Linked DNA regions of Mus musculus. The protein of the gene in region 3 purifies or fractionates together with the protein of the main gene of each other region. This does not show direct contact. Links are inferred from orthologs where the notes say so. Each region holds a gene or a part of one and is shown on either strand. Other genes may lie near its edges. The genes, in order: Cep135, Ssx2ip and Wrap73.

Region 1 (3,644 bases), on a different chromosome or scaffold from region 3:
CTGACTTCACGTTCTCTTTTTGAGTGTTCCGTTTGTTCCCTTTGACTGCAAGTTTTTGATGACTGGGTTTGACCGCCTGGCTGCTGAGGTCAAACTCTAGGGAGCATGAGAATGAGATGGGGGTAGCTGAGCCGGGAGTCCTTGCCTTCCTGTGAGACACACTGGATTTGGTCTCAGCACTGCAAGAAAAGAAAAAGCAGATAAAATTGGGTTCGGAATAGATGGTACTTAAGAAGTTAGGCATTTTCTAGGTGTAGATCAGGAATATACAGTCTTTTTGTTTTTGTTTTTGTTTTTGTTTTTCAAGACAGGGTTTCTCTGTGTGTCCCTAGCTGTCCTGGAACTCACTTTGTAGACCAGGCTGGCCTCGAACTCAGAAATCCTCCTGCCTCTGCCTCCCGAGTGCTGGGATCAAAGGCATGCGCCACCACTGCCCAACTACATTCTTTTTTTATTTAAAATTAAATTTTGGTTTAAAGATTAAACAGTTTTCTAACTTGAATTTTTTAATAATGAAATCTCACGGCATTTACATTATTAATTAAGCCTTCTTTACTGAACTTGCCCATCCCCAAGCTGAGACTTTGACTGGCCTGGTGTGTGCTCTCGTGTGAGCATGGCTTTGGTTTCTCTTGTCAAGTCGTGCATTGAGAAGTTATAGCACTTGCTTGACTGTGGCCAGAGAACTGGCATGCTGCAGAGAGCATGGACTCATGGCTGATGGGGCGGGAGGCTTATCATATCCTTACCCTCTCATGATGAGGGAGATGGCTGGTCATCATCGGAGAGGCAGAGTACGCCTTAAAGCCAAGGGGACTTTAAATCACAATGATTTTCTTACAACTAAAAAAAAATGTTTTAAAGTCTTCAACAATCGCTGTTATATTGTAAGATAAAGAATTTTTCAGACTAAGCCTAAACTTTTGCTGAATTAATCTTTGTTTTTTCTGTAGGCGGTAGCAGAATTAGAGAATGTAAAATCAGAATCAGAACTATTAAAAAAACAGCTGACGAATGAGAGACAGACAATTAAAAACCTTGAGTCGTTGTTAGCTACAAACAGAGATAAAGAGTTCCAGTCCCATTTAACCTCCCACGAGAAGGACACAGAAATCCAGCTGCTGAAGGAGAAGCTAAATCTCTCAGAAAGCAAACTGTGAGTGTCGCTGAGCAGTGTGTGGGGAAGTGTCTTTGACAAAGTAGTTTCAACTTTCCAGGTAGCGAGGGCATTGGAAACCCACGGTCCCTGACTCTCCTAACTGCTGCGTCTGGACATCCAGAGGAGTCACTCAGGAGACATGGGGTTTGAAGCCGTAGACGTACACATCTTCATCCCCAAGGCAGGGCGTGGGATCGAGCCGGGAAGAGTGAGCTTCAGGGGAGGACCTGAGTCTGAGGAGTGAGTAAAGGCTTTGCTGAGGGGAGGCGTGTCCAGATGAGGTGGCTGTAGACAGGAAAGGCTTGGAGCGGGGGAGATTTGGTTCTCAAGTGCGTTGTTCATCACCATCAAGGGGACTGGTGATGACATCATCCCAGAAGAGAAGAGCCTGGACTTGCGAGCATGCAGAAAAATGGGCTTTGTACAGGGCTAGGGAAGTTGAGGCAAGAGGCAAGGAAGAACCAAGGAACCTGTGTTGCATCCTGTGTTGCTAGCTCATGACTGTGCAGAAGCTCTGGTTTGGAGAGAGCCCCTGTTGAAAAGCTGTGATCCTTGTCTGTTCTTAGGAATCAACCCATTTGTATCTGCACTTGATTCTACAAAAGAGGTCATTCGTTTTTCTATTTCTAAGATCTATACATTTGTTTTTAAGGACTACCCAAAGCCGAGAAACCTCCATGCTTCGAACTAAAGTGACACAGTTGCAGACAGATTATGATAATCTGAAGAGGCAGATGTCAAACGAGAAGTACGAACGGTAAGACAGTTCTGTAGCAATACACAGCATTTCTGCATATCTTCTATGCTACTCAAAGAGTACTTCATACGGCTTGCAAACAGCAAACTGCTTTAGTATTAATCTGTAAGCTACATTTCTTAGGCACTTCCTGCTAGAGCAAGGGACTCCATAACATTGAAAAAAAAGGTTGGAGCATCTGTACTGCGAAGAGAAGCTGAATACTGAGTAACTGAAGGAAAGGGCAGCCTGGGGGCCTCTGAGGGGACAACCAGCACTGACACTCCTGGCACTGGGAGGCACAGTGTGACACTGGGAGTGTGATGGAGAGAGTGGGCTCCTTTGTCTTTGAAGTTTGGGAGATTAGAGGCACAGAGAAGGCTAAGTGCATATGCAGAGAAAGGTGAGAGAGAAGGGCAGAGGAGGGAAGTGTGCAGTGTGGGAGCACTGTTCTCAGGACCTGGACAACAGTGACAGCGACATTAGTGAGGTATAAGTGACTGAGGATTGCTTCAGACGTGGGTGTGTAAAAAACTGTCTTTGAGTTCACACACACACACACACACACACACACACACACACACAGTGTGTGCAGTCATGATGGTGCTCCCCTGTAGTCTTCAAACTCAGTAGGGTGAGACAGAAAGCTGGTGAGCTTGAGAACAGCCTGCCCTTCATAGCAAAAGCCTGTCTCTAGAAGAAGTGTGTGACTGCTGGGGTAGAGGAGACTAGAAGTTGAACTTCTCTTTGCCTAGAATCAGGAAGGACCTGATAGAGCAAGCCCAGAGAACAGCACAGATGTGAGGCTGGGCAGAAGCTGAGGGTCCAGTGACGAATAGGAGATGGCTGTGGAGGTAGAAGCGGAACCAGGAAAGGACAAGGCAGGAAGCAGACGTGCTCAACTGCACCAAACACCGAACAAGATGTAGAAACGGCCAGGAAGCCGCACGTTATATACGCGGTTAAAGCTTAAAGAAGAAAGTGAGTGCCCCCAGCATCACTATTCATATTTTGAGTTTAACATCTAGTTGTGTATTGGTTTTGGTTTTTGTTTGCTTTGGTTTGATTTTTTGAGACAAGCTCTCTCTCCTCAGGCCTTGCCCCCCACCCCCCAAGTACTGGCATTACAGGCACACGCCAGCCATGGCATTACAGGCACATGCCACCCTGCTGGCTTAATGGGGATTTGTATATTTCTGAATGTATACTTGGTATCCTAACTTTTTAAAACTATCATTAAAATATCATTGTGATTGTTATGTTTTTAAATGTTATTTGTTAATGCCCTAATGTTCTGATATAGCTATAGCATAATTGCTTTGAATAATTTCTTCTAATATATATTCTTTTAATTGAAATATTTTACATATTCATGAAAACAACTACAAATTAGGGCTGGAGAGATGGCCCATTGGTTAAGAGCACTGGCTGCATTTCCCCAGGACCTGGTACCTCCACAGTGGTTCACGGCCGTCCATAACTAACTCTCCTCTGCCTTTTACAGTCACCAGGCACATGTGTTGTGCAGACATCTGCCTGCAGGCAAAGCACTCATACACAGGAAATATAGTGAATCAACCTTTTTTTTTTAATCCTGCAGATTTGGCTAAAGTATATAAGGCTAGGCCAGGCATCCTACCCCCTTGTAGTTCCAGCTGCTTGGGAAGACCAAGGCAAGAGAATCCCTTGAGCCCCTAAATCCAGGGTAGCCTGGGTAACACAGTAAGGCCCCATTTCAAAGATGAAGCC
Region 2 (4,269 bases), on a different chromosome or scaffold from region 3:
ATACTTTTGCCTCCCAGACTTGCGCTGTCTCTGATTATCATTAACCTTAACGGGGAGCATTCCCTGATGGAGGAACATAGAATATGTACATTATTATACAAACAAGCCTTATGCCCACAGCAGCCATTGAACATTCATGGAGGCCCGTGCCCTGCTCTCTCTGTTCCAGGGGTGGGACCATACCATGCTGTCCCTTGCACGGCCAAGCCGGACTCAGCATTTAAAGAATAAATGCCACGTTAAGATGTTTCTTGAGAGAGGAAAAGGAGTGTTTTGGAGAGTGGACAAGGGAACTTTCAGAACACCCCCTCGGATGCAGAGGGAGCAACCTCACCCCACTAATGGTCTAACTTCGAGAGTAAGACAGTCATTGGCAGTAATTTCTCACTGGCACTGTGCTCCAAAGCGCCTTTGTAATGATGTATCCTTGCTACCTGTATTTAGCATCCAATCTCCTTCAAATCCATTGTTCATTTCTGCACTCTGATCTTCTACCTAGCACTGTGGGCATGTGTAGTCCTTGTTCCTCTCTGTCTTGTTCTTCTGTGGCAGTGGTGTATTTCTTGTGTTCCTTTTACGATGTTTTGTTCTCACAGGAGCCACTTAACCCCAAACCTCTTTTTTTTTTTCCTCTTGAGTAAACAGCTTGCTAGAACCCCACCACCCTACCCTTTACTAAGGTTTCTCCATTTTCCTTTCCCAGGGGAACTTTAGGTGAAAATAGTAGGGAGAGGCAAGTGGATTTGGCCAATTGCCACTGTCCTACATTTTCTTGGCACTCATGGAGAGGGCCTAGGGAGTTTTTCATCAAGGTCTAGTTCACAAGTACCTTTTCTTAGTTTCCCTTTCCAGCTGTCTCCTCCCTAGGTCCCTTCCTTTGCCTTAGTTTGTTTTATTCACTACTTGAGCTTCTCTCATAACGCCCAGGCTAGCCTCAAGCTGCCAATGACCTTGTACTTCAATTCTGCCGGATCACAGACCCTCACATGCGTTCTGTGCAGTCCTGAGGAATGAACTCGGGGTTTCACGCGCACTACCCTGGCCCTGGTTTTACACGGATTTCTGTGCATTGGCGCATTGATTCCAGAGGCCACTACCTTCCTTCTCCAGGGCCTGACCTAATTCTGGAATGCCCCGGTGTCTCTCCGTTCTGGGGAGCGCACCTGGTTCTCCAGAGAGCATTGGGGTTCAGGGGTGGCCTCAGAGGCCCGGCTCTAAAGCGGCTAGGACCCTCCTCTTGTCCCCGTGGAGAGCTGGGGGCGGGGAGCAGCGGCCGGGTGACCCCGGGTGTAACAGGTGCGGTAGCCGCAGCTGCGCGGGGGAGAGCGGCTTGGCGTCTGCTGGGGGTTGTCGGAGGCTAGTCCTCGCTGGACCAATGCGGGCCGCGGTTGTTCGTCGCCTGGCAACCGGCGGAGCCAATGGGCGGCGCCAGCGCGGGGCGGGGTGGGATGGGCGCCCGCCGAGGAAAGCGGCGAGAGGCGGGCCGGGCGGACCGGGCGGGCTGGAGGCTGCGCGGAGCCGCTGCGTGCCGCCGCGGGTGCGGGCCCGCGGGCTGCGGGAGGCGTGAGCCGCTCCCGGAGCCGTGACGGTGAGCGGCGGGATTGTGACGCGCAGGCGGGGAGGAGGGCACCGGGCTGGACGTGGACGCAGGCACCGGGGCCGACTCTGGGCGGGCTCGTCGCGGCCGTTGCAGCGGTTGGAGAGCGTTGCTGCCCGCCGCCTGCAGCGGAAAGTGCGAGGTAGGTGCTGGGGGGGCCCCGCGCCCTTTCGGGATGCGGCGCGGGCGCGCGCGGGGTCCCTTTGGCCCGACCGCGCGGGCTTGGCGAGTCCTCCGAGGCTGCCGCAGGACTTAGCGAGTGAGGTCTGCCGCTGCTGCAGGGGTAGGTGGCTCATAGTGGTCCAGCCCCACGTTTAGGGGAAGAACTTACATCATCGCAGGGGCAGGCTTGTTTGAGAAATTATTTGGCCCCGGATTTTCCAGTGGTGTAGAGTGCGTAAATGGTGAGCTCTGTCCGGGTCAGCACATATTTCTCCTGGTGCAGATTGCTGGGTTATGCAAGTCACCTGGGCCCAGGAAATAAAACTTGCCCAATAATTCCCCATCAGCACCAGTAGAGGAATCTTTACATTAATACCCACAGTTCAGGCTCCTTAGTCCTGCGTGTCAGATTCATAACCAGCCACGCCGATGCAGTTGTGAGAGCCGGGAGTTTCTTCTAGAATCCAGGCTGGATGAAAGGTGGAGCCCAAGGATGAGAGCCTTCTGGATTTGATATTTGCTTCAATTCAGTTTAGAGTCCAGGCCTGGAGTTAGCTGAAAATAGTGCTACCATGGAGCCCGCAAGGTTCCGGAGGAAAACCTTTCTAGTCCCAAATTTGATCTTGAACGGAAAGGTCTGTATATGACGTGACACATTTACGAGGCTGGATAAAATTCAAAACCGTCGATCCAGCTAGCAAAACTTAAGCCATCCAATCTCCTTACTCCCCAAGAGCCTGTGGGCCCACGAAGCTTAGAGTGTTCATTCAAACTAAACAAGAAAAGCTGTGCTCCCAGTCGACACTTTGTCCTGCCCGGTGTGCACAGAAGTTCCTCGTACAAAGTGGCTCTCTGAGAGGATTAGGAATGGATAGAATTCAAACCGGGGCGTTTTCTTTGGTAACTGTTGGGGCCCCTACAGCCTGTCATTTTACACCCTTCCTTTCCTTCTTGTTCTCCATCTGTACAGGGAAGATAATAGGTCCAGGGATTAAGTAACAGGGCCACAGCAGCTTGGAGATAACTGCTGGGGCCGGGCCACTCCAGGATGAAATGTGAAACTCGATCCATGACACACTTGAGCCTTGTGACAAGACTTGTTAAGTCCACAGCATCCTAGGCTTGCTCAGGCAGGTGTACGCACCATGGAAAAGTTAACTGTTCATGTTAGCCCAGAAGGCCTCCAACCCAGCCCAGTCAAATTATGTACTTGGGCTCTCTTAAAATGGGAAAACTGGACAAACCAGCTTGTCGGCCCAAACCGGTTAGGATACAGATTTTGTGAAAGTGCCCTCACTTAGCATTCAGCTAGAGAGAGGGGGGGGAGAGAGCGCCTAGAAAACACTTTTCCACAGGGACTTGAATCATGTTTACATTGGAGCAGTAAGCCCCCCCCCCTCCCACACACACACACTGCTCCTGTCTTTATCCCAGCTCCCTGGGAGGCTAAGGTAGGGGATACGCGTGAGTTTAGGAGTCCCAGACAAAGTAGAACAACATACAGATCTTCATAAAAAACAAACACCTTTCATTCTGAACGACCTCACACGTTCCTTGGGGAACCAGACCAAGCCGGGCCATGCACATGCAAGGCTAGGGTTCTGTTGCTGAGCAGTGAAACCCGGTGCGCCTTGATTCTGAGGCAAGGCTGCCTTGTTACTAGCTTGCCCAAGCAGTCCTTGAACTTGCAGTTCTCCTGCTTCAGCCTCCCAGAAGCTGGGCTTATAGGTTTCTAGGCTCAGTTTCAAAAGTGATTTTTAGTGTTAGCTTCCTGTATCTTTTACAGTAGCTGTGGACTCACCTTGTTGGCTTAGCCATTAGTTCATAACGAGGCTGTGTGAGTCTGTTGTGTGTCTTGGGCAATTATGGTTAGGTGGTTGTGAGCGTACATCTTACCTTAAAGCCATGAGCCTATAGAATGAGACAGTAGAGAAACACACCATCCATTATTAGTAATGGAAAAACCTAGATTGATACCATGTGATGCTGGTCCAATATTTTGTGTAGGAACAGATTTGTTGTTTGTTAATAAATCTATTCTTTCAGTAAGCATTTATTGTCAGACACTCAGCTGCTACTTGCCAGGCCCAAGGACAAAAAGATGTGTTGCTCTGAACATTTTGTACTTTAGGAGGTTTTGTGTGGAGAAGGGGAGAAATGCAAATGTGGGCGGGCTTTAGGAAAGAAGGCCTTTCAGTTGTGTCCTGACAGGCGCTCGCCAAGCAACTGTGCGTTGGGCACAGCAGAGCAGGTGCAGGTTACAGGTGGTTGGTGTCGTCCATGTGCAGCCGGAGCTGCATTAGCGACAAGCGTTAAGAACAGCGCTGTGAACCTTGACCAGAGGGCAATAAGGAATATCTAAAGGGTTTGTTGGGGATTATATTGCTTCTGATGTAGTATGTCTGCCTAGGTAATAATTTGCATAGTCCATGGCCTCTGGACCTTGATGGTCTAGATAATACCTGAAAGCTTTTCACCAGGCACGTAATTGAAGCTGACAGGAGCCTTGG
Region 3 (4,225 bases):
CTTGCCTCAATGGCCAGCTCCTCCCCTCCTGTTCGACACACTTAGCTTCATGTGGACCAAAACTTATGGGTCTCATTGCAAAATGAGTTAGAAAAAGATAAAAGGTGGAGCATTCAAAAGTTTAAAAGTTCCACACAGTATATATTAACCAAATTATCATACTCTAACCCACAAATTTGTACAAGTAAATTTTTTTAAAGATTTATTTATTATTATATAGTAAGTACACTGTAGCTGTCTTCAGATGCACCAGAAGAGGGCATCAGATCTCATTACGGGTGGTTGTGAGCCACCAAGTGGTTGCGGGGATTTGAACTCAGGACCTTTGGGTGAGCAGTCAGTGCTCTTACCCGCTGAGCCATCTGTACAAGTAAATTTAAAGATGGGGGTGGTGCACTCCTTTAATCCCAGCACTCAGAAGTCAGAGGTGGGCAGATCCCTGAGTTTGAGGCCAGCCTCCCTCTACTGAGTGAGTTCCAGGACAGCTGGGGCTACACAGAGAAACTGTCTCAAAAAGCCTGTGTGTGTGTGTGTGTGTGTGTGTGTGTGTGTATTTTTTTACTACTTGGGAGTGATGGTGCACACTTGTAATCACTGTACTAGGGAGGTGCTCAACTACTTTCTGAGTCTGAGGCCAGCTTTGCATATTATGCCATTGTCTAAAAGCCAAAAACTTGCACTTGCCTCAGAAACAGGTTTGGATGCACAGAAGCCACATAAAACTGTGTTAATCCTAAAAACTGTTTAAAATCCTAGTTTCTATGAGGAGGCAGAGGGGAGGCAGAGGGGAGGCTGAGGCAGGTACATGTGGGCCAGCTAGCCTGCTTTATGCAGTGAAGAGCAAGAGACCTTGTCTCAAACAAGGTGGAAGGTAAGGAATAACACTGGGGGTTGTCCTCTGCCCTCTACACGTGTGTTGTAGCATCTCTCTGTTTCTATCTCTGTCTCTCTGTCTCTGTCTCTGTCTCTCTCTCTCTCTCACTCACACACACACACACACACACACAGACTCTTTTTTTTTTAATGAAGCCACATTTGTCTTCTGTGGAAAGAGAGCAAGAGGGCAAGTGCAGATCAGAAGGAGGACCTATCAAAGGGCTTGTGTTCTCACATTAGAGTTTGGTGAGCAGTAACCTGTTACAATGGATTCCTTAGGAATCACTTAAGACACCAACACTGGAAACATGGACTCGCTCTGCTCAGGATTTAGGACAAAACTTGAAAGAAACAATTATTAAGAGCTCCACGATATTTTGATGAGCGGCAAGCACAAATATCAGCTAACCCAAATGCAACTTCTTTGCTGTTCACTGAGACTTTCAGAACCGTAAAGCAACCTTAGTCTCTGGAGGCACTTGGAAAAAGGTAAAATGTATCAATGTGTGCGAGGCTGATGGTCTCCTCCCACCTTTACGTGGGTTCCCGAGCCGGAGCTCAAGTCCTCGGGCTTGCATGGCAGTACCTTTCCCTGCTAAGCAGGTCCTACCCTGACACTTCCTACATTGTTAGGATGATGTGTATAAGGAGGGTAAAGGATGTCTCAAAAGCCTGGACAAACACAGCAGGGGTGTGAACTGAGAATCAAGACAGCCAGGCATGGTGGCATGCTCCGTTAATCCCAGCACTCAGGAGACAAGGGGCAGATCTTTGAGTTCAAGGCCAACCTGGTCAGAGCTACAGAGAAACCCTGTCAATCAGTCAATCAATCAATCAATGGTATCAGTCAGTTAAAAAGAGAATGATAGATTAATCAAAGAAAACTTGTTAAAAATTAGGATTGCATTTGTATGTGAGAAGGGTCAGGCACTAGTTACGGCTTATGTGGAGGCCAGAGGACAACATGCAGGAGACAGTTCTCTCCTTCCATTAAGTGGGTCCTAGAGCTGGGACTCAGGTCATCAGGTTTGGTGGCAGGTACCGTTACTAGCCAAGCTACCCGACTGGCACGGAACCACAGTTTTTTAAAATAAGACTTGAGTTTTCCCTGATGGCTTCCTAACGTCAGCCTTCTACAAATGCACAATGGTCATGTTGGCGTACCTTGAAACACCCATCTGAACACTATTCTGCCACCCAAAGAATAGACAGCTAACATCCAACCCTGGCAATGAAAGCTAGTTATTTAAACCATTTGCTTATGACGAGTTTCACAAAGGAGGGCCCCGTTTAACCAGCTCGCTCACAGAAAACATACAAAATAGCAATGAGCTGCCATCCCCTGTGCCCTCAAATGTGTGAAAGCAGAGTCATCTTATCCAACTTTGATGAAGGGAAACTGGAGCCGGGAGCCTGGCACCCACCCAGCCCTGGCCACCTGCTCCAAGACCTCCTTCCTAACCCTGACCACCTGCCAGAATAGCAACCCCAACTCCATCCCCACTCTGCTCCACGTCCTCTTTCTCCACCCTGGTCACCTGCCAGGATCCCCCAGCCTGGCTGGCCTGGATCCCTCTTCGGCTTCAGGTTCGTTCTCTCTAATCATCTGGTTCTCCCTCATCTGGGCTGAAACCCCTCTGCCTGCCTCCCTCTCCCACCTCCCACCCCGCCCCCTAAGTCCAGCCTGAGTCCCCGCGGCCGCCCGGCTCGGGCCCCCTTCCCGCCCCCCTTCGGCCCGCCCCGGCCCCGTGCACAAGTCGCGCGCCCACACTTAGGTTCCGCCCAGCGCGCCGCAGCTCACCAGGTACTTGCCGTCCGGGGAGAACCTGCAGAGCAGGCCCGAGAGCTTGAATGACTCCGAGAAGTTCATGGCCACGGCCAGCCCGGGCCAGCCCGGCTCCGAAGTACCTCCCGCAACCGCCCCAGGCAGCGGCCGGAAGTACAGGGGCGGAAGCGAGCAGCAGCCAATGGGAGCCTCAAGCGGCCGCGCGGCATTGTGGGGCGGGAAGTCCGAGTTTGAGTCTTAAAGGGGCTGAGCGCCTTTGCGCTATAGCGGATCTCCCTGCAAATCCCGAAACGGAAGGCTGAATTCTGACTTCAGATAAATCACAAAATAAATATGTTCCCAAAAGTTACCCGGGGCATACTTAGACTAAAAGACTCCCTTATCTGAAATTCAGGTTGTAACTAGACCTCTGTACTTGTGAACATACATTTATTTACATGTAAATGCGTATTTATGTGTAAGTATATAGTCGTATTTCGATACACCTCTTTAGTAGATAACAAATTTTTTGTTACAGGAGCTGAGAGTGCGGTTCTATTGGCAAAATGATTGCTTAGCATATATGAAACCCAGGTTTTGGTCCGCAGCATCGCATAAACCCCGCACGATGGTTTGCATTAAAAAAAAAAAAAAAATCCTACACCTGAAACCAGAGACGCAGATGTTCAGGGCATCCTTCGCTACCTATAGAGTTGGAGGCTATGCAGGGCTGCGTGAGACCCTTTCTCAAACAGAACAAAGCAAAGTATTTTCCACGTATAAGTATAAATATAGGTTTGCTTTGAGGTTTTCCTGAGAGCGACCACCTGCAGCGTGACCTCGTGACGTTCAAGTGCTTCTCAGGTCTGTGGCGGAACGAATTCGAAGGCATGTGGATCTCGTGGGTCGCCTCACCTTTTTGGAGGTTCTAGTTAGAGTGTGGACTTGATTCAGAGGTGTGGCTCGGTACCCGGGACGGCAGCCTCGGTGGGCACGTAGAATACAGCACCAACTGGACTTCAGACCAGGATCGCTCCCCAAAGCGCTCTGCTCCCTCCCTCGCGCAGCACCCCGCGTCCTGTGCCCCACAAGGCTCCCCATTCCGGTGTCATTCGGGAGGTTGGATGTTCCTGTCTGCACCCAAAGCTTCAGAGGATCACTTAAGGCTCAGCCACTGCCTTTGGAGCTAAGTTCCGAATTCTGAAAGACCGGAATCTAGTATTGCTCGGTCCAGCTCATAGCTCCCAGTCTCTTCCGCACCGCTGCATCTAATTTCCACGAATGAATGAATGAATGAATGAATGAATGAATGAATGGCGGTGCTTGCACCATTCGGAGAGGATCTGCAGAGTGCGCGGCCAGCGTCCTGGCATTTTCTGTTCCCAACCAGTCCCAAACTCTTGCTTGGTATTCATCTTTGTCTCTAATCTGCAGCTCGCAAATAATTACTCCTCGTAGCTATTGGCCTAACACCAGGTCAGGCTTTCGAGTTCGAGAGAGATTCGGTCTGCTCCAACCCACCTCCCTTGCAACGCCACTAGCTGCACTAAAGCGACTTCCAGGGCATGTGGGAACACCTTGGGC

What was found.
Region 1: the proteins of Wrap73 (region 3) and Cep135 purify together in Homo sapiens (co-immunoprecipitation; 6 studies listed by BioGRID and IntAct, counting the BioPlex papers as one, with this or other methods). This does not show direct contact. The link is inferred for Mus musculus from reciprocal best matches to the Homo sapiens genes WRAP73 and CEP135.
Region 2: the proteins of Wrap73 (region 3) and Ssx2ip purify together in Homo sapiens (co-immunoprecipitation; 4 studies listed by BioGRID and IntAct, counting the BioPlex papers as one, with this or other methods). This does not show direct contact. The link is inferred for Mus musculus from reciprocal best matches to the Homo sapiens genes WRAP73 and SSX2IP.

What each region holds. Positions count from the first base shown.
Region 1 is NC_000071.6:76,637,111-76,640,754, forward strand, and holds part of Cep135 (centrosomal protein of 135 kDa), read left to right. Parts: intron 1-953; coding exon 954-1,156; exon of another isoform or gene 1,157-1,399; intron 1,400-1,811; coding exon 1,812-1,916; intron 1,917-2,650; coding exon of another isoform or gene 2,651-2,699; exon of another isoform or gene 2,700-3,186; intron 3,187-3,644. UniProt on the Homo sapiens protein: Centrosomal microtubule-binding protein involved in centriole biogenesis. Acts as a scaffolding protein during early centriole biogenesis.
Region 2 is NC_000069.6:146,403,197-146,407,465, forward strand, and holds the start of Ssx2ip (afadin- and alpha-actinin-binding protein), read left to right. Parts: upstream 1-1,445; 5' UTR 1,446-1,739; intron 1,740-4,269. UniProt on the Homo sapiens protein: Belongs to an adhesion system, which plays a role in the organization of homotypic, interneuronal and heterotypic cell-cell adherens junctions (AJs).
Region 3 is NC_000070.6:154,140,966-154,145,190, reverse strand, and holds the start of Wrap73 (WD repeat-containing protein WRAP73), read right to left. Parts: upstream 2,820-4,225; 5' UTR 2,747-2,819; coding exon 2,678-2,746; intron 1-2,677.